Callithrix jacchus: one gene and its partners. The protein of the gene in region 1 purifies or fractionates together with the protein of each later gene. This does not show direct contact. Links are inferred from orthologs where the notes say so. Each region holds a gene or a part of one and is shown on either strand. Other genes may lie near its edges.

The links.
Region 2: the proteins of LARP7 (region 1) and SRSF6 purify together in Homo sapiens (affinity purification with mass spectrometry; 3 studies listed by BioGRID and IntAct, with this or other methods). This does not show direct contact. The link is inferred for Callithrix jacchus from reciprocal best matches to the Homo sapiens genes LARP7 and SRSF6.
Region 3: the proteins of LARP7 (region 1) and HNRNPA1 purify together in Homo sapiens (affinity purification with mass spectrometry; 4 studies listed by BioGRID). This does not show direct contact. The link is inferred for Callithrix jacchus from reciprocal best matches to the Homo sapiens genes LARP7 and HNRNPA1.
Region 4: the proteins of LARP7 (region 1) and DRG1 purify together in Homo sapiens (affinity purification with mass spectrometry; 3 studies listed by BioGRID and IntAct, with this or other methods). This does not show direct contact. The link is inferred for Callithrix jacchus from reciprocal best matches to the Homo sapiens genes LARP7 and DRG1.
Region 5: the proteins of LARP7 (region 1) and CCNT2 purify together in Homo sapiens (co-immunoprecipitation; 3 studies listed by BioGRID and IntAct, with this or other methods). This does not show direct contact. The link is inferred for Callithrix jacchus from reciprocal best matches to the Homo sapiens genes LARP7 and CCNT2.
Region 6: the proteins of LARP7 (region 1) and ZC3HAV1 purify together in Homo sapiens (affinity purification with mass spectrometry; 3 studies listed by BioGRID and IntAct, with this or other methods). This does not show direct contact. The link is inferred for Callithrix jacchus from reciprocal best matches to the Homo sapiens genes LARP7 and ZC3HAV1.
Region 7: the proteins of LARP7 (region 1) and RPL11 purify together in Homo sapiens (affinity purification with mass spectrometry; 3 studies listed by BioGRID and IntAct, with this or other methods). This does not show direct contact. The link is inferred for Callithrix jacchus from reciprocal best matches to the Homo sapiens genes LARP7 and RPL11.

The regions. Positions count from the first base shown.
Region 1 is NC_133504.1:84,549,963-84,554,083, forward strand, and holds part of LARP7 (la-related protein 7), read right to left. Parts: intron 789-4,121; 5' UTR 787-788; coding exon 585-786; intron 1-584. UniProt on the Homo sapiens protein: RNA-binding protein that specifically binds distinct small nuclear RNA (snRNAs) and regulates their processing and function.
Region 2 is NC_133506.1:38,841,826-38,846,727, forward strand, and holds the start of SRSF6 (serine/arginine-rich splicing factor 6), read left to right. Parts: upstream 1-1,714; 5' UTR 1,715-1,852; coding exon 1,853-1,959; intron 1,960-2,179; coding exon 2,180-2,328; intron 2,329-3,576; coding exon 3,577-3,701; intron 3,702-3,831; coding exon 3,832-4,040; intron 4,041-4,297; coding exon 4,298-4,381; intron 4,382-4,481; coding exon 4,482-4,842; 3' UTR 4,843-4,902. UniProt on the Homo sapiens protein: Plays a role in constitutive splicing and modulates the selection of alternative splice sites. Plays a role in the alternative splicing of MAPT/Tau exon 10. Binds to alternative exons of TNC pre-mRNA and promotes the expression of alternatively spliced TNC.
Region 3 is NC_133510.1:65,267,533-65,272,365, forward strand, and holds the start of HNRNPA1 (heterogeneous nuclear ribonucleoprotein A1), read right to left. Parts: upstream 3,269-4,833; 5' UTR 3,208-3,268; coding exon 3,193-3,207; intron 2,635-3,192; coding exon 2,518-2,634; intron 2,228-2,517; coding exon 2,081-2,227; intron 1,944-2,080; coding exon 1,733-1,943; intron 1,633-1,732; coding exon 1,540-1,632; intron 1,454-1,539; coding exon 1,361-1,453; intron 1,224-1,360; coding exon 1,149-1,223; intron 945-1,148; coding exon 789-944; intron 230-788; coding exon 74-229; intron 1-73. UniProt on the Homo sapiens protein: Involved in the packaging of pre-mRNA into hnRNP particles, transport of poly(A) mRNA from the nucleus to the cytoplasm and modulation of splice site selection.
Region 4 is NC_133502.1:201,906,208-201,910,328, reverse strand, and holds part of DRG1 (developmentally-regulated GTP-binding protein 1), read right to left. Parts: intron 2,320-4,121; coding exon 2,150-2,319; intron 1-2,149. UniProt on the Homo sapiens protein: Catalyzes the conversion of GTP to GDP through hydrolysis of the gamma-phosphate bond in GTP. Appears to have an intrinsic GTPase activity that is stimulated by ZC3H15/DFRP1 binding likely by increasing the affinity for the potassium ions.
Region 5 is NC_133507.1:95,700,005-95,704,125, forward strand, and holds part of CCNT2 (cyclin-T2), read right to left. Parts: intron 2,089-4,121; coding exon 1,960-2,088; intron 244-1,959; coding exon 183-243; intron 1-182. UniProt on the Homo sapiens protein: Regulatory subunit of the cyclin-dependent kinase pair (CDK9/cyclin T) complex, also called positive transcription elongation factor B (P-TEFB), which is proposed to facilitate the transition from abortive to production elongation by phosphorylating the CTD (carboxy-terminal domain) of the large subunit of RNA polymerase II (RNAP II).
Region 6 is NC_133512.1:108,285,122-108,288,250, forward strand, and holds part of ZC3HAV1 (zinc finger CCCH-type antiviral protein 1), read left to right. Parts: intron 1-1,043; coding exon 1,044-1,306; 3' UTR 1,307-3,129.
Region 7 is NC_133508.1:60,429,786-60,434,638, reverse strand, and holds the start of RPL11 (large ribosomal subunit protein uL5), read right to left. Parts: upstream 3,308-4,853; 5' UTR 3,285-3,307; coding exon 3,279-3,284; intron 2,532-3,278; coding exon 2,381-2,531; intron 1,313-2,380; coding exon 1,206-1,312; intron 170-1,205; coding exon 38-169; intron 1-37.

The DNA of each region.
Region 1 (4,121 bases):
CAAAAATTAGCTGGACATGGTGGTGCATGACTGTAGTCCCAGCTACTCGGAAGGCTGAGGCAGAAGAATTGCTTGAACCCAGAAGGCGGAGGTTGTGGTGAGCCGAGATGGTGCCATTGCACTCCAGTCTGGGTAACAACAGCGAAACTCCATCTCAAGGAAAAAAAAAAAAAAAAAAAAAAAAAAGCAGCACTATGTTAGGCTGGGCATGGTGGCTCATGCCTGTAACCCCAGTATTTTGGGAGGCCAAGGCAGGCAGATCATGAAGTCAGGAGTTCGAGACCAGCCTGGCCAACAGTGAAACCCCATCTCTACTAAAAATACAACAATTAGCTAGGCATGGTGGTGTGTGCCTGTAGACCCTACTAGGGAAGCTGAGGCAAGATGATTGCTAGAACCTGGGAGGCGGAGGTTGCATGAACTAAGACTGCATCACTACACTCCAGCCTGGGAAACAGAGCAAGACTCCGTGTCAAAGAAAAAAAAAAAAGAATATACTACTTTATAAGTAAATTCAGAGGCAACCATTAAATTCAGAGGCAACCATTATCCACAAGTTGGTCCCTTTACTGAAGCAAACTTACATCCATCTCTAGATTTTTCTATCTGTTCTCGAAGAAATCTATCCTTGTGAAGATTTGCATCCCCAAACCAGAAGTCCACTTGCTTAGCAATATCTGCAAGCACCTGTTTAACTCGTGATCGTTTCTTTTTTTCAACTTCTTTTTTCTTTTCAGTGCTTTCTTCTTCCATTATCTTTTCTTGATTTCCACTTTCAGTTTCCATTCCTGTGCATTATAAGAAAAAGAGGTAAATATTTAAATCAGCAAAACAGCAAATATAGTTTAATTTAGAGTAGCCTTTAATTGTCTGAGAGAATAATGGTCTCATCATTTGGCTGTCAGAAGACAAAAGGAAAATTTATTTTTATATTTAATAATTTAAATTATAAAATAATTTACCTCCTATGTTAGAAATCGCAGCTTTAGTTTTTTTCCACCTTTTAAATTGCAGGGCCAGATTATTCTAGTATAACATAACAACTATGCGTTTATCTCACTAAGCTGTACTTTTAAGCCAGTAAATGAAAAGTGTAAGATTAAGCAACCTGGATATTTTCCATCACAACCACCACCCTCCCCCACCAAATAAGTTTTATTCACTTTTCTTTTTTTGAAATGAAGTTTCATTCTTGTTGCCCAGGCTGGAGTGCAATGGTGTGATCTTGGCTCACTGCAACCTCCGTCTCCTGGGTTCAAGCAATTCTCCAGTCTGAGCCTCCTGAGTAGCTGGGAATTACAGGTGCCCACCACTACACCCGGCTAACTTTTGATATTTTTGGTAGAGATGGGGTTTCACCATGTTGGCCAGGCTGGTCTGGAACCCCTGACCTCAGGTGATCTACCTGCCTTGGCCTCCCAAAGTACTGGCATTGGCCGGTGTGCCCGGCCTATTCAGATTTTTAATATTATAACCTTTATGGGACAAAATAAAAATAAACTGATTATTGATTTTGATTTTTAAAATGTTAATTTATGCTTTCTAGAGGCAGAAATTTCTTTTTTTACTTTTTTTTTAATCTTTTTTTTTTTTTTTAGATGGGGTTTCACATGTTGGTCAGGCTGGTCTTGAACTCCCAACCTCAGGTGATCCGCCTGCCTTGGCCTCCAAAGTGCTTGGATTATAGGCCTTAGCCACCACGCCTGGCCTCTTGGGCAGCAATTTCTAACCCCCTCCTTCCTCAAGTTACTTTGCATAGCTCTTCCCCTTTGCTTTGTCAGCTCCAGTCATACTGTCCTTGTTGTACTTCCTGAAACTCACCCAGCAAAATCTATCAGGTCTAAACCTGTTCTTGAAACACATATCCCCAGCGATAACAGCTTGCTCTCCTACCTCCTCAAGTGCCTATTTAAAGGTCACCTCTTTGAAGTCTCCTCCCACAACCATATTTAATAATGCAAATTTCTGGACACATACATGGTAACTTCCATGTCTTATTTTCGTCCATAGCATTTATCATCTAACATTACTACAACTACTTTGCAATTCATTTTCTTTCCTAGAATGTAAGATCAATGAAATCAGAGATTTTTGTCTGTTTTGTTTACTGACAGATTGTCAGTCCCTGCCACAACAGTCCCTTAAAAATCTGTTGAATAAATTGTGCCTACATTTTGTTGAATGAATTGAATCACTTGAGGTATATGAGCAAAGGATCCGGTCTGGGATAACACAGCCTGCTTGAGAATAACCTCAGTCTCCCATAATACAGTCTTCTTGGAAACTGGAGAAACCAATGGGGAGTGTTGTATCTGTTTCCCATGTTGTACCTGGTTTGGAGCAGCTATTGAATGACATGGAGGCCTTATACCTATGTGACCGGAACAACAGATTGACAGGCAAAAGGTGTTAAAGCTTTTATGTGTCAAATTATCCTAAACACACCTTGGTCCTTATCTAGGGAAGCCATACATGCCTCTTGTGGGTAAATGGGAGAAAAAAGAAACGAATCTGGGTAATTGCTAGATATAATGGCTTGGCCATTGCTGGGATGAAGAAGCTATATCTACCCTATCTTTTGCCTTGTATCTTTCTTTGGTAAACATAGTATTTGAATCACTTGAGTCTGATAGCTGGTAAGAGGGTCCAAAGCCCTTAATGCATTTCACCTCAAATCTCCAACTAAACATGCATTCTCATCAACAGAAGGACATTTTGGCATTTTAGAACAGGCTTCAGTAGATCAGTCAAGCACCAAGTTTGAAGATATCCAAGTAATATCATATTTAGGTGATGCTAATTTAAGACATAAAACACAGCTACAGGTCAGAATAATAGAAAAACAATCAGGTGTCATTAAGTACCACATAACCACGTTCTTCACCTAATGGTCTTACTTCAACCCATTCTGTCAGGCTTTCCTCTGCACCATTCTAGAGATACTGCAAAGTCCTCAATGGGCTTGGTCTACTTGACCTCTCAGCAGCAAATGCAGTTGGTAACTTCCTCCTTGAAAATACTTTCTTCGGCTGGTCATGGTGGCTCACACCTGTAATCCCAGCACTTTGGGAGGCTGATTACAGATGCCTGCCACCATGTCTGGCTAATTTTGTATTTTTAGTAGAGATGGGGTTTCACCATGTTAGTCAGGCTGGCCTTGAACTCCTGACCTCAGGTGATTCACCTACCTTGGCCTCCTTCAACTTATTTAAGGATGCCATATTCCACCAAAAATTAACCAATCAAGCTATTTATTAGCTGTGTGGATTTTGAGGAAGTTACACCATCTCTCTGTGGTCTATAAAACATGGATAAAAATCATACCTATGTAATAGTCGTCAGCATTAGCCAAAATAATGAAAATAAAGTACTTCAAATTGCTGATACACAGAACACAATAAGTAACCATTATTCTATTCAATCTGTTGTTAAATCTTATCAGTTTGACTTTTGAAATGGCTCCTCATCTCCATCCAGTGTTTTCTGCAACTACTGTCACTAGAATATGGCCACAGTTTATAAACTGTTCTGTAAGTCATCTGTTCTCAGCAGGAGCCTATGTATAACCCATCTAAAATACAGACTTGGTTTTGTGATGCTTATGTCAAAACATGCAACATTTGAAATTCCTAAGCACCTTCCTGTAACATAATACACAATTTAAGAAAACATTGCTTAAAAAAAAAGTAACATTTTACTGGAATAAAAGTTACCATGTAACACCACCAGTTACTTTATATACATTTTTGTAAATCCTCACAATCCCACAAGGTAGCAGTTTCTTCCTTTTTTTTTTTTTTTTTTTTTAGACACTGTCTTGCTCTGTCACCCTGGGTGGAGTACAGTGGCACAATCTTGGCTCACTACAACCTCCGCCTCTGGGATGCATGGTTAATTTTTGTACTTTTAGTAGAGACAGGGTGCCATGTTGGTCAGGCTGGTTCTTCCATCTTCTTAAGACTCAAAGGTTAAGTCACTTGGTCAAAGCTAGCTAAGTAAGTTGTCTCAGGTATGTTTGATCCCAGATTGTCTACCTTCTGGTAGAATTTCCTGCAATTTATCACCATGGACTCTATGTTCTGACTCAAAATTTTTTTTCAATTTTTTTTTTAAAGACGAGG
Region 2 (4,902 bases), on another chromosome or scaffold:
AGGCCCCCCCAAAGTGCTAGGATTACAAGTGTGAGCCACCACGCCTGGTCTTTTTTTTTTTTTTTTTTTTCCGAGACAGGATCTCAGTGTTGCTCAGGCTGGACTGCAGTGATGCAATCACAGCTCACTGCAGCCTAGACCTGCACTCAAGTGATCCTCCCACTTCAGCCTCCCTAGTAACTGGGAGTACAGGCATGTGACACCACGCCCAGCTAATTTTCACAATTTTTTTTGTAGAAACAGGATCTCGCCATGTTGCCCAGGTTGATATCGAACTCTTGGGCTCAAACAATCCTCTCACCTGGGTCTCCCAAAGTGCTGTGATTACAGGAGTGAGCTACCATGCCTTGCTCCTTTTTTTCTTTCTTTGAGTCGGAGTCTCGCTTTGTCAACCAGGCTGGAGTGCAGTGGCATGATCATAGCTCACTGCAGCCTTGAACTCCTGGGCTCAAGCGATCCGCCTGCCTCAGCGTCCCAAGGTGCAAGGATTACAGACTCATATTTTTAATTTATCTAACTTTAAGCACGGCCTGTACCTCCCCAAGTCGTGACAAACAACGACGTTTTCCTCCAGACTACCTTAGCTCCAGGAGGGCAAAACCACCCTTTTTCAACCAGAAGTTGAAGGATATTGAGGTCACACCACTCAAAACAGAGCGGGAATACAAAAATATCAGAGCTGGTGTTATCTCAGTGATACCTCTTTTAACTTCAGTGACACCCTACTCTCGTGGTCTTCTCCTACCTCCCTAGCCACTCTCCAGTCAGTCTCCTTTCCTGTACTTAAATTTCACAGTACCCCAGGAGTTGGCCAGGGTCTTCCGCTCTCGACTGAAACTTATTTCTTTGAGGTTTTCATCTAGTTCTCCAACTTTAAATAGCATCTCCATTGATAAGCTCACAAATAAGGCACTTTCAAGTCAGTGGAAGAAATGACAGAAGAACAAAGGACTTTCCATATACGGGGGAAAAAAAAAATCGTTCATCGCTGTGGGAGGGCTGCCGGATCTCGGCCGCGCTCCCTTTTGAGCGCCTACAGTGAGAGTAGGATTCCCACAGACCCCCAATCCATAAGTGAGTCAGGGCTCCAAGAAAGACCCACGGAGGGAGAGGGGAACGTCCGGGGAGGCGGAGGCTGATGAAGGCTGCCAGTGAGACCCGCAGAGGCTGATGTCGGCAGGTCTGCGCGCTCGCAACCGGACCCCCCCACCCGGTCAGCAGGAGGACCTTGGTGCGCGATCCTCGGATTCCGCGAAACCCGACAACCGACTGGATCCAAGAGCGCGGTCACCTCTAAAGTGACCATCAACCAATCGCTGGAGGAAATCCGCAGCCTCGTTTTAAGCGACCAATCCGAGACCGCGACGACCTATTATGACACGCTCGAGAACCAATGAAAAATGGGAATTCTCTTAGCCTGCCTCCTGAGTTTCAAGAGATCGCTCAAAGTTTTATAAACGGTACAAATTAGAAAACAACTATTCTGCAGCTGGATTAGAGACATTGTGTTTTCAAAGACGGTGGAGAGGACTGGAGTAAATTCTAGAACCGAGCAAGACCGCACTACCCCAGAACGTCGCAGGCAGCGGACTAGCTACTCACAATCTAGCCCAGGGCCGACACGGGAGAGACGTGCCGCTGCGCGCTGACGTCACGTGCCAGGCCCCGCCCCACCGGCCGCCCATATAGCGTAAGTCTGGCGCGCGCGCGCACCATTGTGTGGCTGGACTCGGCCGCCGCTGCGGTGTGAGGCGCGTGTTCGAGCTTTTGCCGTCCCCGCACCCGCACCGCGGCTACTGGCTTGCGGTCCGCCGTTCAACAACCAGCCCTTGGGCCCCTGCCCGCCACGGACATGCCGCGCGTCTACATAGGACGCCTGAGCTACAACGTCCGGGAGAAGGACATCCAGCGCTTTTTCAGTGGTTATGGGCGCCTCCTCGAAGTAGACCTCAAAAATGGGTGAGTCGGGCCTGAGCGCCCGCGCCTAGCGTCCCAGGCCTGGTGGCGGCGGGAACTCTCCTAGGAAAGAGGCGGCGAAGGCCGCGGCGCCGCGTGGCAGGGCCTTCAAGATGGCGGCGGCGCGGCGCCGCGGGGGCGCGCGGCGGGTTGCGGGCGCGCGCACGTGCGTGCCCTGACTAACGACGCCCCCGTCGGTATCCGGCCCTCGCACCGCCCCCAGGTACGGCTTCGTGGAGTTCGAGGACTCCCGCGACGCCGACGACGCCGTTTACGAGTTGAACGGCAAGGAACTCTGCGGCGAGCGCGTGATCGTAGAACACGCCCGCGGCCCGCGTCGCGATCGCGACGGCTACAGCTACGGAAGCCGCAGTGAGTCCCACCCCCGCGCGCTCCGCGCCCTTGGGGACCCTGGGGGGCGGGGGTGTGTGGGGTGGGGCCTCCCAGCCCGGGCAGGCGCGAGGACCGGGGGTCGTTTGACTCGGGAATCCCCGAGTCCCGCCGCCTTCACGTCTGCCCGGGGTAGGCATGGGACGCCGGAGCGCGGGGATTGGGGTGTTTGGTTTTGTTATTTGCCAAGTTGGGAGGTGGGTGGCTTCTTCTGGCCCCTTGTCAGCACTGTCACGGGTTCTTCCCACAGAGGAAGTAAGGGGTGGCTGTATTTGTTGTATCCCCCTTACTTACCTGTCAGTGCATTAGTTAGAGGATTAGAGGCAGGCTGGGGTGGAGGGGGGCGGGGGGGACGGGGGACGGGGAAGGGAGGATCTTAAAGTACAGATTTTAAAGCTATGGAAATTGATGGGGCCAAAGAAAGTACTATTTCAAAGTAATGTGGTGTTGTACCACAAAGTAGATCTAAATAAGCTTTATGCTGTATTTGAACTAGTTGGGGCATGTTATTGGGAGGAGGTGGGGGGATTTTTGGTTATGTTAAATGTTTGATGTTTAAACTGTTGCATGTTGAATTCAAACTTTTTAACAAGTCCTTGATGTTTCAATTTGAAAGTGACCAATGGGGCTGAGGCTGTGTCCACTGAGGCTAAGATGACTGCCTTTCCTGATTGGCCTTGGCTTTTCCATACATTGTGTGACCCTTGCCCTATGACCCTTTGGCTGACCTTACCGGAAGCCATGACGACAGCAGCCTTTTGCCATTAGACGCAGGGTGATGGTGAGGATTCCAAGGGTTAGACAAAACTGGTTAATCTGAACTAGGTGACTGTTACCTTGCGTGTTTTGTGGCCAAACCACCACCAAAAACCTCACACTGTGATGTAAGTACTTAGTGTAAAACTAGTAAACATTTTTGTAAAATGTAGAAATGCATGTAATCAGTTAAGTTTTATATTTTACAATGTTCTGTAAAATAAAACTTAGCGAGGTAAATTGAATAAAGGAGCAGTCACTCTCTAACAGATTGTAGGAGAGGTTTAGTTGGATTTAGTCTATTGGACTTGCCCTTAATTTAATTTATGGCAAATCGCAAATGTGTCAAAGGTTTAGCAATATAATAGCAAAGTCCTACTCCAGTAAATAAAAGTTGATATGTTTGTACTAACTTTCAAAGACATGCATTTCTATCATTACAAGGCATCTAATTGTTCCCTTCATGTGATAAAGGTGGTGGAGGTGGATACAGCAGTCGGAGAACATCTGGCAGAGACAAATATGGACCACCTGTTCGTACAGAATACAGGCTTATTGTAGAAAATCTTTCTAGTCGGTGCAGTTGGCAAGATTTAAAGGTGTGTGCTATAATTCAGGCTACGAGTGAATGCTTTAAAGTAGCCTTTTTTTACATTCTTATTTCTGGGAATTTATTGTAATATATAGATCTTTCAAGATTTCTGAGTATGACTAGTCTTGCCATTTTAGGATTTTATGCGACAAGCAGGTGAAGTAACCTATGCAGATGCCCACAAGGAACGAACAAATGAAGGTGTAATTGAGTTTCGCTCCTACTCTGACATGAAGCGTGCTTTGGACAAACTGGATGGTACAGAAATAAATGGCAGAAATATTAGGCTTATTGAAGACAAGCCACGCACAAGCCATAGGCGATCTTACTCTGGAAGCAGATCCAGGTAACTTGTGGGGAGGAAACAATATTTGCCAATAAAACAAAAAGGAAGTAATTGGGTAATTTCAGTTGTTGCCTACTTGAATTAAAGCCAGCTTTTAGTTTCTCTTGGCTATAATTGGGTTTTTTTCTAGTTGTTTTGACAGATTTAATTTTGTAGTAAAGAAATACATTATTCTTTGGCTTATCTATTTTTGCCAAATAGCACAGATTTATTTAAGGTGGACTGGGATTAAGAGTTCATTGTGTTTTTCATAATAGGTCTCGATCTAGAAGACGGTCACGAAGTAGGAGTCGCAGAAGCAGCCGCAGTAGATCTCGAAGTATCTCAAAAAGTCGCTCCCGGTAAATAATGTGTTGAGTCTCTGAATATTACTGTACTTGTTTATGGAGTTACGTGTATGTTCCTACAGAGTTTTGAGAAAATTGGTCTTCTCTTGTCCAGTTCCAGGTCGCGGAGCAAAGGTCGGTCACGTTCTCGATCAAAAGGCAGGAAATCTAGATCAAAGAGCAAATCTAAGCCCAAGTCTGATCGGGGCTCCCATTCACATTCTCGAAGCAGATCTAAGGATGAGTATGAGAAATCTCGAAGCAGGTCTCGGTCCCGATCCCCCAAAGAAAATGGAAAGGGTGATATAAAGTCAAAATCCATGTCAAGGAGCCAGTCCCGTTCCAATTCGCCACAACCTGTTCCACCCTCAAAGGCTCGTTCTGTGTCCCCTCCACCAAAAAGAGCTACTTCAAGATCCCATTCTAGATCTCGCTCAAAGTCAAGATCAAGGTCCAGGTCGAGTTCCAGAGATTAACTCAGAACTCCTCTCTCTTCTTTGCACACGATTACAGAACACTTTCCTTCTTGCTTAGGC
Region 3 (4,833 bases), on another chromosome or scaffold:
TAAAGGGCTTCCTTCCCAGCAGTAGCTACAGACACACAGCTCTTGCTATTATCCCAAATTACAGATACCATACCTTGGTTTCGTGGTTTGGCAAAGTATTGGCCGCCACCACCATAGGGGCCAGAGCTTCTGCCTCCAAAGTTTCCTCCCTTCATGGGTCCAAAATTTGAAGACTGATTGTTGTAACTGCCAAAATCATTGTAGCTTCCACCACCTCCAAAATTGCCTCCTAGGAATGGGAAACAGGGCCTTTGTTACTTGATGATGCTAGTTTCCAATTCTGTTTAGTGGTCAAAATAAAAGTAAGATTGGGTTAACTGCCTTCCTTCCTCCCAAACTATGGTGACTCCATCTTTGCATTTCATTCTCTGGGAAAGGCATTCAGTTGAATAATCCAGTCGTAAGAAAATTGGCCTAACTCCATGACATAGAGAGATTTCCATAGCGGCACAAACACACCCTCCAGCCTTGAAGGCCTTCATGGGAGATCTAGGGCCACAGGCAATCAGAAATTTCTTGGATCCATCAACTAAGCGCCTAAGGTCCCAAAGCATTTAAGATACTAAATCCTTCTATGACACTAATCTAACTCAAAGACACCATTATCCACTTATCTCTACTAATTGGGAGTGAGGCGGCCCCAGCTTAAAGCTAGGAGGAGGTAGCATAGCAAGCCCATTTAATATACCATGCAGTGTACCAGACAATGCTTCAACAGCACCAAGAACCCAAGCTCTAAAAGGCTATTCTAGCTGTCACACCAAGTACTTGGATCACTGGATACCTACCACTACCACCGCCAAAGCCGCCTCCGCCTCCGTTGTTATAGCTGTCATAGCTGCCACTCCCGCCATAGCCACTGCCCTGGTTTCCATAACCCTGTCCACCACTTCCATAGCCTCTGCTTCCTCCAGAGTAACCAGGGCCGCCTCCTCCATAACCACCTACAAGAATACAATTCTTCTCAATAAGACAAAAGTATTTGACAATGAAAACTTGTGCAAGTGTAATGGCTGAAGGCCTGCTCACAGCATGCGTGTTATGGGAAAAGTTGAGCTTGTCATGCACTAGAATTTTAGTCTTGACTAACCTATTCTAAAGACACAGGTTGCCAGGAATTTTTATCTACTTATTCCTAAAAAACTTACCATCATTGCCAAATCCATTATAGCCATCCCCACTGCCACCATAACCACCACCACCACGGCTGCCACCAAAGCCACCTGGAAGAAAACAAAGTTTTAAGTTTTAAGCATGATCTGCATATCAAATGACATTCTGGATGCACTTCCTGTACTGTAAAACCTGCATAGCAAAGATGGTAAGAAGTCAGAACTACAGGTAAATAAGCCGTACATACCACGACCGCTGAAATTTCCTCCACGACCAAAGTTGTCATTCCCACCGAAACCTCCTCCACGACCACCACCAAAGTTTCCAGAACCACTTCGACCTAAAGAGATGAAGTTTAAACGTTAAATCATTCATACTGGAGTAACTGAAAGTTGCTTTTAAGGTTTAATGAAGCAATAAGCATACCTCTTTGGCTGGATGAAGCACTAGCCATCTCTTGCTTTGACAGGGCTTTCCTAACTTCACAGTTGTGGCCATTCACAGTATGGTATTTCTGAACTAAAAAAAAAAAAATGAAGACAGGTACAACATGGTCTCAGGGTTTAGAACGCCACATGGACTGCGGAACCCTTACTAAATACCACTATTTGATACTTACTGACAATCTTATCCACGGAGTCATGGTCGTCAAAGGTTACAAAGGCAAAGCCCCTTTTCTTGCCACTGCCTCTGTCCGTCATGATTTCAATCACTTCAATTTTTCCATACTGTTCAAAATAATCTCTTAGGTGATGTTCTTCAGTGTCTTCTTTAATGCCACCAACGAATATTTTTTTCACAGTTAAGTGGGCACCTGGTCTTTGAGAATCCTAATAGGAGGAAAACCACAGGTTTAGATTAGCCAAACCTACACCCAAATAAAAAAATTTTTAAGTACAAAACTCCTGAATCCAAATACACTAGCAGCACATCGCCAAAAGAATTGAAGGGTAAAAAAACCACTCACTTCTCTTGAGACAGCTCTCTTTGGTTCCACAACTCTTCCATCCACTTTGTGTGGCCTTGCATTCATGGCTGCATCCACCTCCTCCACAGTTGCATACGTGACGAACCCAAAGCCCCTGGAGCGCTTGGTGTTTGGATCTCTCATGACCTGAGAACAGTGTTAATTCATGTAACAAAGTCTGACCCCAAAAACTTTTGTAATTTTAACTTTGAACAAGGGAATAGGAAACTTTATACCAGCCCTGTACAAAAACCCCTCCAGTTTCCCACTATCCTAGGTTTAAGAGGTAACTCTATCAAACAAAGCAGGACTTTCCTTCGTCAACAAGGCTCTAGCTATAATACTACTAACAACCTTCCTAAGTATTCAGAGAGAACCGCCCCAAGATAAACCAAGGAAATCCACTATTTTACTGTTTGGTCCCTTCCAATTCTTACCACACAGTCTGTGAGCGTTCCCCATTGCTCAAAATGGCTCCTGAGGCTCTCATCGGTTGTTTCAAAGCTCAACCCTCCAATGAAGAGCTTCCTCAGCTGTTCCGGCTCTTTAGGAGACTACAGTGGGGGAGGCGGAAGTGTTAAATGAGCTGTAACACCAAACAATTTCCATCGAGGAAAATCAAAACTAGACAACTGTGTATGTAGCACTTATTGTTCGTTCAGATTGCAACAAGCCATGTGCTTCTCTCTAACAGGGGAGAAGGTATGTTGGGGGTTGGGAGTGCTGCGAAATCCAAAGCGCATGCGTCCCTAGTCGCCTTCCGACGCACGCGCAACAAAGGCTTAGGCGGGAGGGGTACATCGCCAAAATGGGACTAATCGCTCTTTTAAAAACTCGCTCACCAAAGCAAGGTTTAGAAAAGGAAAAGCCTTATGTGCGTAAGAATTTTTGCTAAGACTATAGAGTGCTGCATAATAACTCATGATTGGCGCGAGCGGCCTCATGGCGATCAACAGGACAAAATGGCGACTTGAACTTTGGGAGGGGTAGGCCGTGGCAGCAACCTAAAAAACTGTAGAATGGGCTGGTGAAAGGAACGAAACCAAGCCGCATCTTACCAATTCAGGAAAGGAAGAGGAAGAAATTCAAGTTGGAAAGAGCGCCTAACTCACCTCTGACTTAGACATGATCGCGGGGAGAAGAGAGACTTTAACGATGCTGCTTCGGCGGCGTCCACGGGCAGAAAGGAGCAAACTGACGAACGTATCTGCCAGCCTACCTTCGGCCTTTCTTTTTTACCCCGCCTCCTCCCTTTCAGCATTGGTACACTCCGCCCTTGAACAGTTCTGATTGGATGTGTGAAATCTCTTCCCCCTACTATTGGCCTGTGGTGCCACACTGCTGTGTAACGTCATTCCTTTGGGCGGTCTACGCCCTCTCCACCCCTTGGAGTTCATTGGTTCCCGAGTAATATTATTCTTAACCAGTCTGATTGGCCAGCCGATAAATCATTCATATTTGAATATACCTTGGGTGTTTAACGCCTTTTTAATCTTCCCCGCACAAATATTACGCTTGGCAAAGCATGATTAACACTATGTGTCAGAAAAGCAGTTAGCCAGCAGGTCAAAATTTTGACTGCTTGTTGAGCGCACGTGTAGTAAAATGGCGAGTTTTGCGCAGGCGCATTAAGAACTTCCAGCAGCCTCTGGGAACACGTGAAATGGCGGGCAGTACTAGGCAGTGACCCTACGGCGCCTGCGTATTGGCGGGAGTTGGTTCCAGCTTTGCGCATGCGTGGTGGGCGGAGAAAGGGTCCGTTCCCGGATTGGTTGCGCAGGCGCAGGGAAGGATCCGTTTTGGCGGGCGGTTGGCGTTGCGCAGAAGGTGGTGGCGGTGGTGGCTTGCGTTGCGGCCTCACCATACAGCAACAGGGCAGACGTTAGCGTGAGTGATCACTCTCAATCCCGGGTAAGTGGCAGACAGTCTTCTCTACCCATCGTAGGTCTCGAACTGACTCTATTTGGGCCCGTTATTGTGTGAAATGAATGGACCGCGGGGTGGGGGATAGTGAAAGGGCAGCGGTGGGTCGGGCCAACCAATAGAAGAACAGGGGGCGGGATGTTTTAATCCCTGTAGGTTCTTTGGAGCGGTGCAGCTGAAGACTTTGACTGGCTTGCGTATACGCCAATTGGGTCTGCCTTGAGCTGCCGACTGATGGGCCCTTGGGGCCATCGGAATGTGGGAGACGGGTTTCCCCTCCTGAGCTGCGTCTCACTGAGCCAGTAAGCGCGAAGCGCGCGGTAGGTTGGGCTTCTCCAGGAGGCAGCGGTTTGACTCCAATGGGGAATGCGGGAGTCGGGCGGTTAAACTGATGGACCGAATCTGGAGCCAGTAGACGGACAGCCTAAGGAAAGTGCTCGGACCAGTCGTCCAATCGACTCCAGAAGAGGGAGGTCTTCGATTTGGGGTTGTGAGGAAGGGGAGTCGGTGAATGTAATGGCGTGTGAGGGTGAATGTTTTATCCACAGTGACTTCTCTAAGGAAGCCTTTAGGCCTCTGTCCCATAAACCTCCTTGAAAGCGTAAGTTTGCTCCTGGCTGCCTCGACTTGACATTTTCCCCCCCACCTCCTCACCACTTGAGGTTTGGAGAACAGGGGAGGGTTTTGTTGTTGTTAAGTAATACTTTGAGAAGTCGCTTCTTTAGGAAGCTGTTAAAATGTTAGAACGAATAGGAAAAATCACAACATACTGTCATGGAAAGGCGTTCGAGAAATATTTCTTTCCTAATAGTGCATATTTCTGAACTAAT
Region 4 (4,121 bases), on another chromosome or scaffold:
TCGTGAAGCCACTGCACCTAGTTGATTTTCTTTTCTTTTCTTTTTTTTGCCGATTCTCTTTTCTATCTATACTCATTTACTTGGTGATCTAAGCTAGGCCTATGACATTAAAGTTATATAAAATCACCAAATTTATATATCCAGCCTAGATAATTATTCATGCCTTCTTTTATTTTCTTCTTTTTATAGAGATGGGGTCTCACTTTGTTGCCCAAGTTGGTCTTCAACTCCTGGACTCAAGTGATCCTCCTGCCTCAACCTTCCAAAGTGCTGGGATTATAGACATACAGATGTGAGACACTGTGCCTGGCCTACCTCACATGCCTTCTTGACAGAAACAACTGGATGTCTAACTGGCATCTAAAACTTAACATCCTGATCTTCTTCTTCCCTCCAAACCTATTCTACCAAAAGTCCTACCATTTTAGTAATAAGAGCTCATTTTTTTTTTTTAGCTCAGGACAAAAAAAATGTGGCCAGGTATGGTGGCTCACACCTATAATCCCAACACTTTGGGAGACTGAAGTAGGAGAATAGCTTGAGGCCAAAATTTCAAGACCAGCCTGGCCAACATGGCAAGTCTCCATTTCTACAAAAAAAAAAAAAAAAAAAAAAAAAGAAAGAAAAATAAAAGAAAAAAAAGCCAAGCGTGGTGGCATGTGAGTACAGTCCTAACTACTTGGAAGCCTGAGGTAGGAGGGTTGCTTGAGCCCAGGAGTTTGAGTAACAGTGAACTATGACTGTGCCACTGAACTCCAGGCTAAGCGACAGAATGAGATCTTGTCTCTAAAAAAAAAAAAAAATTAAAAAATAAAAAACAAAACAGGCATCTCTGACGCTTTCTTTCACAATCCAGATGTAATTACTATCAGCTATTTCAAAATCTTTCCACACTCAACCACTTTCAACTCCTTCACTGTTACAACTCTGGTCCAAGAAGCCATTACTTCTTGACAGGATTATTGCAATAACCTCTTAAATTATTTCTGTTTCTGGTCTTAACCTACTGCAGTCTATTCTAACACAAGAGCCAGAATTATTCCATTAAAATCTAAGTCAACTGGGCACGGTAGCTCATACCTGTAATCCTAGCACTTTGGGAGGCTGGGGCAGGCAGATCACTTGAGGTCAGGAGTTCGAGACCAACCTAATCAACATGGTGAAATCCCATCTCTACTAGAAATACAAAAATTAGCTGGGTGTGGTGGCACACACCTGTAATCCCAGCTACTGAGGACAATGAGGCAGGAGAATCGCTTGAACCCAGGAGGCAGAGGTTGCAGTGAGCCAAGATTTGTACCACTGCACTCCAGCCTGGGCAACACAGTGAGACTCTGTCTTTAAAAAAATAAATAAATAAATAAAACCTAAGTCAAATCATGTTTAGTTGTGGGACAGAATCCAACCAATAGTTAACCATCTCCTGTAAAGTAAAAGCACATGTGTCCCTATGCTATGCTTTTATCTTTACTACTCTCTTACTTGCCCATTCTGCTGTTCCTCAAACATAGAAAGACATGCTCTGCCTCAGCACCTTTCCTCTTGGATGTTCCTTCTGCATGAAGCAGATGTTCTTCTTCAAGATACCCACTTGGTTCACACCTTCATGTCACCTCAGTGAAGACTTCCCCAACCAACCTTAAAACTGCAACCCTCACACCAACACTCTATCTCCTTTCCCTACTTTATTTTTGTTCTCACATTTGTCATTGACTAATCCATTATATTTTACTCATTAATACTGGTTTGCATTCTATCCAATTAGAATACAAAAGAGGGATTTTTGCTGTTCCCTCTTCCCAGAGCCTAAAATAATGCTTGGCCCATGACAGACACTCGATGAATTGTGTTAAATGAATGAAAACAGAAGATATTGGCGGCCATCTACCTTATGCAAGCATAAAACTGGTCCACACTCCCATATTATCCCCAATAAATAACCGAAAAGAGGAAATAAGTGGCAAAGGTAAGTCTGAGACTGGCTCCTATCGTAGTCTTAAAGGCTTTCATGTCAGTCATTATGAAGTCATTTGTGTTATCTCAACTAGTACAGGGAAAAGCCAGGAAATTTTCCAGTGTCAATGTCCATGCACATCACTCCCCACTCTAATTCCTACAGCAGTCTGCCCATGTAGTCTTCCCCACTTACAGTAGCTGTGAGATTAATGCCTCCCTTGTCCTTCTTCTTAAAGCCAATGTTGGGGGGTTTGCTGTTCAAGCGAATGCCAAAGCCTTCCAGTTCATTTTCAATTATCTTCTTATGTCCCAAGGGTTTCAGGACATCCAAAACAATCAGGATCAAGTTACAGGTTCGGGCCACTGAAAAATAAGAAAAAAAATACCCAAGACAGTTCAGTAAAGCTTTAACCCAAATACTCAAGTAGAGGTGTTTTTCCCCCTACATTTAAGGGTCTGTCAAAGGATTTTCTGTAATACATACACATATGAAGGTTTTTTGTTTTTTTTTTTTTTGAGATGGAGTCTCGCTCTGTTGCCCAAACTGGAGTATAGTGGTGCGATCTCAACTCACTGCAACCTCAACCTCCCTGGTTCAAGCGACTCCCCTCCCTCAGCCTCCGAAGCTGGGATTACAGGTGAATGCTACCAAGCCCAGCTAATTTTTTTGTTTTAGTAGAGATGGGGTTTCACCATGTTGGCCAGATTGGTCTGGAACTCTTGACCTCAGGCAATCCCGCCTCAGTCTCCCAAAGTGCTGGGATTACAAGTATGAGCCATTGTGCCCAGCCATAAAGTTCTTATAACTACGAAAGATTTATACCGGAAGTCAATTTGCTTTGTATGCCATGAAATCAGTACCATATTTGCCCAAGAGTTGACACATTTTCTAGATGTAATAGCAGGAAAACAAGTCAGAATAAAGATACAAACCAGGAAATAAACTAAATCCTCAGATACGGGTTAGAAAGGTTTAAAATAGGAAGAACTGTGAAAGAATATTATCCGGTTAGCGTTTTTTTTTGTTTTTGTTTTTTTTTTTGGAAATGGAGTCTCACTGTCACCCAGGTTGGAGTGCAGTGGCACGATCTTGGCTTATTGCAACCTCCACCTCTTGGGTTCAAGCAATTCTCCTACCTTAGCTACCCAAGTAGCTGGGACTACAGGTGCATGCCACCATGTCTAGCTAATTTTTTCTATTTTAGTAGAGATGGGGTTTCACCATGTTATCCAGGCTGGTCTCGAACTCCTAAGATCAGGCCATCTGCCTGCCTTAGCCCCTCAAAGTGCTAGGATTTCAAATGTGAGGTACCTCACCTGGCCTTGGTTAGCAATTTTTTTTTTTTTTTTTTTTTTTTTTGAGAGGCAGTCTCGCTCCATTGCCAGGCTGGACCTCATGATCTGCCTGCCTCAGCCTCCCAAAGTGCTAGGATTACAAGCATTAGCCACTGTGCCCAACCCTTTGTGCCTCTTTTCAGTCTTCCCCACTATACTATTCCCAGCCAACCACTGATTTGCTTTCTGTCACCATAGGTAGTTTGTTTGCACTTTTAGAATTTTGTATAAATGGAATCATATAAAATGTATTATTTTGGCCTGGGACAGTAGCTTATGCCTATAATCCTAGCAATCTGGGAGGTCGAGACAGGAGGATTGCTTGAGGCCAGGAATTTGAGACCAGCCTGGGCAACAAAGTAAGATCCAATCTGTATGGGGAAAAAAAATGTAGTCTTTTGTGCCTGGATATCTTATTTTTATTGACTAACTGAGACAGTCTTACTCTATTGCCCAGGCTGGAGTGTAGTGGCATGACATAGCTCACTGTAGCCTCTAACACCTGGCCTCAAGCAATCCTCCTGCCTTGGCCTCCCAAAGTGCAGGAATTACAGGCATGAGCCACTGTATCTGGCCTTTTTCTTTTAAAAAAAAATTTTTTTTTTTCTTTTAAGAAACGGGTGTCCCTCTTTGGCCCAGGCTGGAATACAGTACTGTGATCATAGCTCACTGTAACCTCAAACTCCTGGGCTCAGTGACCCTCCCAAAGTACTGGGATTACAGGTATATACCACCATGCCCAGTTGTGCCTGGATCTTTTAACTTAGCATATTGTTGACATTCAACCATGTTGGGTATGCACCAGTAATTCATCTCTTTTTATAACTAAT
Region 5 (4,121 bases), on another chromosome or scaffold:
CGCCAAATGAAATTAAATTCTAGAAAAGTAATTTCCTCATAACCCAGCAATTGTATTCTGGTCTAAAATCTGTTTTAAAATAACTTTCTTCAATAATAAAATTATTTCAGAAATCTTTTCTCTTATTTAGAATACTTTATTGAAGTACAAACAAAAAGCCATTATCTGATATAAGTACGTACCTAGAGTTTGTAGCATTATGGTTTCAAGTATAACCAGTTCTTGAGTCTGTTGAAGATAAGCCTGTTTGATAAAAATATTATCAAATTGATTAAAATAAAAATAACTTTACTAGACTACATGACTGTTACATCTTGTGAGAATTACAGGTTGATTACAAAAGAACTGCAATAGTTTGGAAATATGGAGAAAATAAACTGAGGGTAACAGAGAAAACATATATTCTGTAGCAAATCTGAAATGAATTATTTTCTACAACAGGAAACAAACAGCAAAAAACGAAAAAGTAAACAATATGAAAGGGGGTAAGTTAACTGAACTAAGATGTACACAGTCTGTAAAGTGAAACATTCTAGGCATTGGTGCTTCAAGAGATATTAAAGACAGGAAGCACCAAGTCAACTAAAAACATCGAACTCAAACCTGGCTTACAAACTCACTCTAGGACATTTCATGTGGTAATTCCTTGAAAGTCACAGTAAGTCAGGGAGTTAATCCAGAATTAACTTCTCTGCTACCTCAGGAGTGACCAAACATACCAAAATAATTTATCTCATACCCATGGGGACATAAATACCAGAAACCCATCTTACTCAATTGCAAGAAATTATCCTTCCATTACAATTACTCTGAAAATAAAGGATATGAAAAATTTACTGCTATCTTATTCTGAAATCATGACAATTGACCAAGGTGATAAGGAAATACTATATTACCTATATGAATATACCTATATTCATTTTTGTAAGGACATATTGCTAAAGCCAGAGAGTAAAAGCACCTTTCATTTTATTTATGCTCTATTCTGAAAGGTCACTGAGCTGATTTTTAAAACATAGTGAATTTCTATTATTTGAACAGTACCCCTGGAAATAATTCTGAATTCGTATAGTTAATAGAAACAGCTTGAATTATCTTTAAATAATGACAAACTCATTATTATTTAATGGCTACATTAACAGTTTACTCCCTTAAAGCCAAAATCTATGATAAAACTTGCCATTAATAAAATCAGATATAGTTCCATTAAAGCTTAAATTAATCTGGACTTCAACTTAAATCAACTTCAATTAATATAATCTGTTAGTCATTTAATGAATAAAGGTTCCTGATTAAGCAACCCAGGATGCTAGAAAAATGATTTTAAAGGGCCACAATTCTAACTTCCATCTTAAGATGTCAGAAAAATTTAAAATAGTTCTTTCAAATAAGGTTTATTACAATGTTGATGAAAAGTTGTCTGGAAAGTGACATTACTCTTTTGGAAAATTAAAATACTAAAAGAATGCTACTCATGAAAGCATAGTAAAATGAGCTTTATGTATCAGAGAGATAAGTAGTAGTACATGCACTAAAAAAGGAAAAATACTTTAAAAAGACTACTCGTCTAGGGATAAATTCAAAAGACTTTCTGTTCCTTCATCTTCTGTCAATTTAAGAGTTATTTATATTCTGGTCTCAAATACAGCTATCAGTGGAGGTGATATGACTTATCCTCTACATATGTCATAACTCTGAACAACAAAATGTGAAACAAAGTATCTTTGAATCTACAAGGCATCTAGAACCAAAGCCTTCTATTTCAGAATGACATCCAAATTCATGAATATACATGAAATGTTTTTCTGCCAGACTGCTTCCTAGCATTGCATTCCTAAGAGGTAATAAAAATAAGCAGCATTTAGAAGCAACACTAATTGAACTGTGTTTTTATTAGGCCTACGTTATGAAAAAGTTTCAAATTTACAAAGAAAAATTAAAAACCAAGTATTTACATACATCACATTTAGTATCCAGCAGTGGCTCTAGAGGATGAAGACAAGCATGTGCTACTTTGATAACATGTTCAAGTTTTCGAGCCTGTTCTTCCACTTTTGCAGCCAAAAATAACGCAGTAGGCGATATTATCTGCAGAAAATATAAAAATCTGGTGATTTAAAAACAAATACATTTTGAAAAACCCTCTATTTTCCTTTTTTAATTTTTTGAGGCAGAGTTTTGCTCTTGTTGCCCAGGCTGGAGTGGAGTGGTGCAATCTTGGTTCATTGCAAGCTCTGCCTTTTGGGTTCAAGGTATTCTCCTGTCTCAGCCTCCTGAGTAGATGGGATTACAGGCGTGCACCACCACACCAGGCTAATTTTCATATTTTTAGTAGAATTGGGCTTCACTATGTTGGTCAGGCTGGTCTCGAACTCTTGACCTCAGGTGATCCACCTATCTCAGCCTCCCAAAGTGCTGGGATTATAGGTGTGAGCCACAGCACCAGGCCAAAACCCTCTATTTTCTAAAAGGGAGGTGTGCAAGGAAGGAAAGCAATATTAATAGTACGAACTGTGAGTTGGGCTATGACTAGACTGTTTAATAGTTTTAATAAAGTTATTCATTAAATAGTGCTACTTTATAAAATCTGTTTTACTCATTTTACACATAGAACAAAGGGAAAAGGGGAAAAGATATATTAAAAAGTTGATTTAACATACTAAAAATGCCAAATAAGAGAAAGTTTAAATAATATTAATTTGCAGACTGGGTGCGGTGGCTCACACCTATAATCCCAGCACGTTGGGAGGCCGAGGCGGGTGGATCACGAGGTCAAGAGATCGAGACCATCCTGGTTAACATGGTGAAACCCCTTCTCTACTAAAAATACAAAAATTAGCTGGGCCTGGTGGTGTGCGCCTGTAGTTCCAGCTACTCGGGAGGCTGAGGCAGGAGAATTGCTTGAACCCAGGAGATGGAGGTTGCGGTGAGCTGAGATCGTGCCATTGCACTCCAGTCTGGGTAACAACAGCGAAACTCCGTCTCAAAAAAATAAAAATAAATAAAATAATAATAATATTAATTTGCACATTGTAGAGGCAAAGAAAAAAATACCTCAAGCAAAAAGATGATGCTATACCTGAGCGGGGGTGGGGGGAGAGAGAAGCGGGTCCAATTTATCCAGTATACTCCTTTTTCTAGGCACAGAGTCACCATCTTCTAGTGCTCTTTTAAATCAAGCAATGATTCATTGTGTGGCTGTAACTGCCACACAGCAAGATACCTATCTTTACTACCTTGTTGAAGGGATAGAAAAAGCATCTAGAGGACAAGACAAGGAGGATTCTGAACATAAACTGTTTCTTAATTATCTCTATTACTTAACTATAGCAACAATAAAAGCAGCTATAACACCAGGATATAAGCATGTAATACAAACCAAGATAGTAGAAGCTTTGCCAATCAGAGATCCAGAAACCAGCATTTTTTTTTTAAGCTTAGTAAATTAGGTCCTTGGGATGAAAGTATAAGAACACAGCATTTCAAAGATATTAACTAAGACAGAAAAATATCAAGTTTGAATATCTACCCCTAAAATTAATAACAAACCAAGTAACTGTGGACTCAGAAAATAGGCATAAAATAAACTCAGATGTTTCAAGATTACATACAAGAAATTTCCCATGAGAAGACAATTTCTAAATGTCAAGATTTGGGTACCCACTTTTCAAGAGGTGAATATTTGAGTCTCATTATATCTTGGGGGAGTCAATAATTACCATACAGAAATAATGCCAAACTGGAGGTGAAGAAAATTTCCCAGAACCAGAAATAGTGTTACGCTAAAATGAGTGAATAATTTTAATTTGGACTTTCAACTTATTTCTTCCTTTTAAAATTACAACAAGAAAAAGATTAGAAAAATTAAGAATACTCAAAAGAGTAACTTAGTCTGGAAGTAGCCTGACCACAGAACAGAGTTACTTATTTGTGTTCCCAGTATTTAGCACTATTTGGCTGTGATTCAATTTGCTGAATGAATGAGATATGGGTAATATATAATGACATCAATATTAAATTCAAAGTATTCTAAATGCCACTATAAAAATCTGAGAGCCAATGGCCACATAAGACATTCAAGAAAATAAAGACACTCTCAGTTTTCCTCTTATTAATGTCTA
Region 6 (3,129 bases), on another chromosome or scaffold:
ATATAAGGAACTCAAACAATTCAACAGCAAGAGAACAAATAACCTGATTTAAAAATGAGCAAGCTGTTCCCATAAGTGGCCTGAGGTGATCTGTGGAAATGGTTTGCTATTCACTTGACCCAGAAATCTACACGAAATCATGCAAATAAAGAAGTTCAAATCTTCATGCTCACTTTAAGAATACCCATGAAACTGCCCAGGCCATCAAGGGTATGCATATATGAAAAGCCAGCAAGTGTCTGAAAGCTGTCACTGTATAGAAACAATGTGTACCATTCCAACGTTATGAGGATGGAGTTGGTAGGAGTGTCTAGGCCATACAGAAGGGCTGGGCACATGTTTGGTGACAAAGAGTTGAATTTTTGCTGTACACACTTAAAAATGCAGAGTGTAATGCTGAACTTAAGAGTTGAGCTGTAGATTCTCTGGTCATTGAGCATATTCAGGTGAACAAAGCACCCAAGACGTGCCACCAGACTCACAGAGCTCATGGTTGGATTAACTCCTGCGTGAGCTCCCCCTGCCACGCAGAGACGGTCTTCACTGAAAAAGAACACAGTGTCCTAATCCACAAGAGGAGGTACCCAGAAGAGAAAGATATCCCAGAAGAAACTGAAGAAGCAAAAACTTACGGCACAGGAATCAATTTAGCGTAAAATACATGCAAGTAGGAGTTTCAAAAATGGGCAAAAGACCTGAAGAGACATTTCTCAAAAGAAATACAAATGGCCAATGAGTTCCTGAAAAAATGGTCAACATCACTAATCATCGGGGAATTGCAAATTATGCAAATTAAAAATGAGCCCAGGAGGTCCAAGGCTGCCGTGAGCCAAGATTGAACCACTGCACTCCAGCTGGGATTACAAGCATGAGCCACCACGCCTATAAACATGTTTTCAAGTGCAAAGGAAAGTTGATAAGTATCAGTAAGGTATTATTGATATATGCTTAATACAAGCCCATTTGATCATGTATAACTAATCTTATAAACAATATACCTTCTTTTATCATCACTCTTAACCTTTTTTTCTGATTCCTTCTAGGAAGTTACTTTGCAAAAGATGCCATCTATTCCCACAAAAATTGCCCATATGATGCCAAAAACATCGTTATGTTTGTAGCCCGAGTCCTGGTTGGAAATTTTACTGAAGGAAATATGACGTACACGAGCCCTCCTCCCCTGTTCAACAGCTGTGTGGATACTAGGTTGAATCCCTCCGTTTTTGTCATCTTTCACAAAGATCAGATTTACCCACAATATGTGATTGAATATACTGAAACAGACAAACCCTGCGTGATTAGTTAGAACCGATGAATACAGCGTCAGAAGGATGCCATAACTATTCTGTTCCCTTGCAGAATAAATTGCCCCAGAAAGTAAAGTTTTATATTTTAATGTCTTCGATCAGTGGTCCCCAAACTTTGCTACACATTTGAATCATCTGGAAAGTTTTAAACAAATTCTGATGCTCAGGTTGCACCCCATGCCAATTAAATCATTTCTAGGCGTGAATGCCAGCCAGGCAGTTGTATTTTTTAAAGCCCTTCTGATGATTCTGATGTGTTGGAAAGTTTACCTTGTCTCACGTGTAACTGGCAAAGCTGATTTGAAAATTTTCTGTAATTGCAGCAACCTTTCTCTCCTGTCTACTCTTTTAGTTTACCGTATGCCATGGTTTTGTTTTGGCTATATTGAAAGAAAATTAATTTGGGAAATTTGGGAGAAATCTAATCATGCCTGTTGAAATAAGGATTTAAGACATTACAGCCTTAGAAGAACGATTGTGAAAAGCTGGGGAGAAAATGCTTAAGGACATGCTAGGAAAAAAGGAAAAATGGAAATGCTGTGGCAGACATAGCTGCCGTACTGTACCTTATCATTCTGATGAAACTGATTTGGAGCACCCATTTCTTTATCGCTACATTTATTTAGGGGACAAACTCCATCCAGGTTGACTGTCTCTGGAATGTGGTAATAAGAGCTGCCACGTATGGCTCAGAGAGAAGCAACCAATTGGAGTTAATTGCCCATTTGGGCTCTTTGTATAATGATAGCAAAGTAGACATTTATGTTCTAATTAATGTGATTATAGAGAAGGCTTTTTCTCAGGTCAGGCTTTTCATGAAAGTATTTTGAGAACAATGAATTGCAATAACCAGCTTCACACAAGCATGACTGATAAATGCGAGTGCTATTGTAGTCTTGGCAAACAAGCCAAGAACCTAGGAGCCAAGAACCTAGGAGCAGGGCCATTCCTACCATTCCTACCGAAGGGCTGGCCCCCTACGGAGACGAAATTTGTTTCCTGGTGAGCACAGAATCAGAACAAAGAACAGTATCCCAAAGAGGCCCTGTGCCTACCAGGAGCTTCTTTTTCTAAATATAATGGATTAGGTGGAATTGTAGTACCATCGGTTTTTATTTAGAGCAGGTGGAGTGCTTGGACCAATATTTCCTTCTTTCTTATGAACCAGGGTTTTCCTTCCAATTTTCTCTTTTCAACATTCCTTACCAGTCATCAAAGTTTCCTGTTATAATTTCTTCTAGCAGACATGTTAAAGTCAGATTTAATTAGCATCAGAATTGATTTTATATTAGTCAGATTTTGGATCATCACAGAGATCTCCACAACTCTTTGTCTTAAACGACTCCACCAGTAAAAAGTATAGAGATTTTTTTTTAGAGTAATTTTGTGGGAGGGGGACCACAAATGCTTATTCTCATTCACTCATGTTTTTTCATGGTAGCTTTCATTTTGGAGTGTTCATTTTCTGAACTTGATCCTCATATTGTAGGGGTGCAGTGTGTCCAACTCTTTCCAACAGCCCATTAGACACCACTAGCTGGATATTTCACAGGCATCTTTGATTCAACATGTCCACAGCGGAACTCTCCATCCTCCTCCCTCACAAGAATCTGTTTCTCTCCCGGCTTCTGTATGTAAGTGAACAGTATCACCATCTACCGATTGACTCAAGCAGAAATCCAGAAGTCATCTTTGACTCTTTGCTCTCCCTCCTGATAAATGTCTAAGCAGTTTCTAAGTCTAGTTTTACCTCTTACCTATCTCTGTTCCCTTCTAAGTTGTTTGATGTGTTTTCTTCACAGCAAGAGGCTTTTCTTTTTAA
Region 7 (4,853 bases), on another chromosome or scaffold:
CACAGACCTGGAGCTGGAAAAAATTAAATATTCATACCACATAGAAGTCCAGGCCGTAGATACCAATGCTTGGGTCATATTTGATACCGAGATCAATGTGTTCCTGAATCCCAAAACCAAAGTTTCCAGTATCGGAGAAGTTGTTTTTTCTTAACTCATACTCCCGCACCTGCGGAGCAAAATGCAGCAATAACAACATTCCTTATCATCTTCAACACCCTCCCACCCCCAAATGCCCAAATAGCTCAACCTGCAATATGCACCCCAAAGCAAAAACAAAGGCTGATGAAACTTGGCTGGGAGCATAATCTAACTTCTTCACTACACCCAGACTACGGATTCACACCCCAACTATCCAATATGACCTCTCCCAGCTTCCAAAAGGCCGAGAAAAACCCAGAGAAAGCAGAGGCATGAAATGACTCCCAAGCATCTTTTTTTTTTTTTTTTTTTTGAGACAGAGTCTTGCTCTGTCGCCAGGCTGGAGGGCAGTGGCGCAATCTTGGCTCACTTCAACCTCCGCCTCCTGGGTTCAAGCAATTCTCCTGCCTCAGCCTCCCAAGTAGCTGGGACTACAAGCATGAGCCACCATGCCCAGCTAATTTTTGTATTTTTAGAAGAGACAGGGTTTCACCATGTTTGCCAGATGGTCTCGATCTCTTGACCTCATGATCTGCCCGTCTCGGCCTCTCAAAGTGCTGGGATTGCAGGCGTGAGTCACCACACCCCGCACATCTTTTTTTTTTTTTAAGACAAAAGTCTCATTCTGTGGCCTAGGCTGGAACGCAGTGGCACGATCTCAGCTCACTGCAACCTCTGCCTCTACATCCCAGGTTCAAGCAATCCTCATGCCCCAGCCTCCCGAGTAGCCGGGACTATAGGTGTCCATCACCAAGCTTGGCCAATTTTTATATTTTTAACAGAGACGGGGTTTCACCACATTGGCCAGGATGGTCTCAAACTCCTGGCCTCAAGTGATCCACGTGGCTCTCAGCTGGTGCTGGGATTATAGAGCTGAGTCATTGTGTCTGGCCCCAAGCATCTTTTAAACCACCAAGAATAGTTAACCCTGATGATTGCAGAAAAACCCTTTTAGAAGGTTAATAAATATCAAGGCACCAAAGAACAGAACATTAAATGTAACTTATCTACATGTTACTAAGGGGGTGCTGATCAATATCACTCCATTACGGGATCAGCCTCACCTTTAAACCCTTCTCCAAGATTTCTTCTGCCTTGGCCCCTCGAACTGTGCAGTGGACAGCAATCTTTTCATTTCTCCGGATGCCAAAGGATCTGACAGTGTATCTAGCTGCAGAAAGGGGGTAACAAGGAGTCAGATGCCATCATACCCCCACTACACTCACCTCTTTCCCAGAACACTATCTCCATGGCTCAGAGACATTATGTACTCCTCCGCACTCTATGTTGTGGTGTTCTAATTAGTGTTGCCTACATCTATTAATAAGATTTCATCCACAGCACAGATTTTCCAATTTCCAGACATCCAGCCATCCTTCAGCAGGTTAAGTTTTGAGAAGTTTATTAACTTGCCAAACATCACAGCTGGTAATGAAATCAAAGGCTGAATCCAAAGGCTTTCCATATTTCACTGCCCTAAGGCAACTGCACACATACAATTCATTTTACCTTCCACAATTATAAAGAATTACCCTCTTCATGGAAATAAAAAGGCAGAGGTCCAGAGAGCTCAGAGAGCGAAGCCATCACTCAAATCCAGGCAATCTAGGTATACAACTTTTTTTTTCTTTCGAGAGGGAGTTTCACTCTTGTTACCCAGGCTGGAGTGCAATGGCGTGATCTCGGCTCACCACAACTTCCGCCTCCTGGGTTCAAGCAATTCTCCTGCCTCAGCCTCCTGAGTAGCTGGGATCACAGGCACGCGCCACCATGCCCGGCTAATTTTTTGTATTTTTAGTAGAGACGGGGTTTCAACATGTTGACCAGGATGGTCTCGATCTCTTGATCCACCCGCCTTGGCCTCCCAAAGTGCTTGGATTACAGGCTTGAGCCACTGCCGCACCCAGCCCAGTATATAACTTTTGAGATGCCCTGTTCTTTTTGCAGCCTATATAACCCTAACTGCAAATCAAACCTAATCATCTTTACTTCATTCCTGACAACTCCACTCTATCTCATATCCTGGTTACTTGGGCTAGTCTTAGCTTAAGATCTGCTCATATAAAATCCAATGTTCCAATCCCACACCCAATCTTGAAAGACACTTCTTGGTTGGCTCATGAGTTCAATGCTGTAAGTGATGCGAACTGTCACTTTCTAAACAGACTCTAAAGCAAGTAAATTAAAAAATAACCAGGTGACCGAGTGGCCAGCCCTGTATGTCCTTGTCACTACTCACCTTTGGAAAACACAGGGGTCTGCCCTGTGAGCTGTTCCAACACCTTGGCAGCTCGGGTCAGTCTGTCTCCACTCTCCCCAACACAGATGTTGAGACAGAGCTTGCGGATGCGAAGTTCCCGCATGGGGTTCTCCTTTTCACCTTGATCCTGCTGCAACAGGGAAGAGCAGCAGTCAATACACTCACAGCTGACAGCCCTGAGTTTCTACTTCTATCTGCCTAGCATTTTAATTTCTGCTCATCCCAAATCGTAACGAAAATCCTAAACGTTTAAAGGGCATCAACGTGTTTGGGAGGCATCAAGGAAGTCAGCTCCGGACCCATTCTTCCTCCACGAAAGGAACGGGTGAAGAGAAACTCAGGATACTCGAGATCGAACCCTAAGAGGCTCAGGGTAACAAAGAGTGCCCCCACTGTAAGACCAACTAAAGGGAGTTAAGTGAGGGAACAGAAGGTAATTGCGGAGTTAACAGGAAGCACGTGGTTACGCAACGTCCTGAATCCCTTTCGGAAGCTGTCTGAAGGTTGGCGCCTTCCCTAAGCGGAGGAACCGGTTAAAGTTTCCCAGCACCGAGTAATCTCAAGTGCCTGGGACCAGGAAAAGCCCCGAACGCCCTGCCTTAGAACCCCCTATTCACCCCATATGCCTTCGCCGCAGCCTAGTAGCTGTGCTTCTGAGCTCTCCGACTAACTGCCCGGAACAGCTCCTAGAACGGTGGCAGGGGGCTTGATAGGCTTCAACCCTGCGTCCTTGGCCCTAACGGCTCTGCCAGCCTTGGGCTGGCAAGCATTGCGGGCTCCATACTCTTCGGGCTGCGGGCGAGGTAGCCCCCGCAGACTCGGCCTGCCATGGATGGAGGCGGATCAAGAAAAGCAAATCCAACTCCCAGCTACTCACCGCCATGATGGAGAACAGGAAGAGAAAGTAGAGCCTCCGGCCCAGGGCCTCATGGGCTAGGAGGCGGGTTCTTTTCCCAGGCTAACCACAGAGATGAAGAGGAAGAGAGGCACATTTGGCAGCGCAGTGCAGCGTCGGCTTCCCCCTTGTGGGTAGTGCTAGAACTGCAGGTGAAGCCGGCTGAAGACCTGGATCTGGGTTTTCCAAAAATAGTTTTTGAAAGCTCCCTGAATCAGCAAGTTCTTGAGTTTCCGGACCTCGAGGACGTTCTCTCTTCCCAGTGTCAGGAGCTGGTGGTCCTTGTGTATTGAGACTGCCAAAACTACATTAAATCAATCATGCAAATAATGATGCAAATTTATTCTGTAACAATGTAAACCCGTACAATTGATTGATTGAGACAGAGTCTCGCTCTGCCCTGGCTGGAGTGCAGTGGTGTGATCTCGACTCACTGCGACCTCTTGCCTTCCGGGTTCAAGCGATTCTCCTGCCTCAGCCTCCCAAGTAGCTGGGACTACAGGTGTGCACCACCACACCCGTCTAATTTTTTTTTTTTTTTTTTTTTTTAGTAGAGATGGGGTTTCACCATGTTGGTCAGGCTGGTCTCAAGCTCCTGACCTCAAACGATCCACTTGCCTTGGCCTCCCAAAGTGCTGGGATTACAGGCGTGAGCCACCACGCCTGGCACAAATAGAATTTATGCAAACGGAACAGAATGGTGGCTTAAGAGTCCCGAGCTTGAAGACAGGCAGATGTGGCCCCGTCTCGACCAGCTAGTAGCTATGTGACCTTGGGCAAATTACTACAGGGTGAGTATTCCTAATCTGAAAACGCTGGGACCAGACTTTTTTGGATTTGGGATTTTTCTGGATTTTAGAATATTTGTATAAACATAATGAAATATCTTGGGGATGGGGCCCAACTCTGAACAATAAATTAATTTATGTTCTATACATAACTTATACACATACCCTGAAGGTAATTTTATACAATATTTTAAGAAAGTTTGTGTACCTTGAACCATGAGAAAGCAAAGGTGTTACTATCAGCCACCCTTGTGGACACTCTGGTTGGTTGGCATAACCATTGTTCCAGACTCTAAATATATATGCTACTAATAAGCAATAATTTATTATGCTTATTCATACATAAGTACTTAACAGCAAAATATATGTTATGTCATTAATACAGTGAAGAAGTTCAGGGTAACTAAGCAGCAGAGGAGCATCACCAGAAAACCTGGATCAGCTGTAAAACAATGGTGACCCTTCCCCACCAACACCAGACCAGGTACCGTGGCTCACACCTGTAATCCCAGCACTCTGGGAGGCCAAGGCATGTGGATCAGTAGAGGTCAGGAGTTTGAGACCAGCCTGATCAACAGGGTGAAACCCAGTCTCTACTAAAAATATAAAAATTAGCCGGGCCTGGTGGTGCACGCCTGTAATCCCAGCTACTCGGGAGGCTGAGGCAGGAGAATCGCTTGAACCAGGGAGAGGAAGCTTGCAGTGAGCCGAGATCACACCACTGCACTCCAGCCTGGGTGACTGAGACCCTGTCTCAAAAAATAAAAAC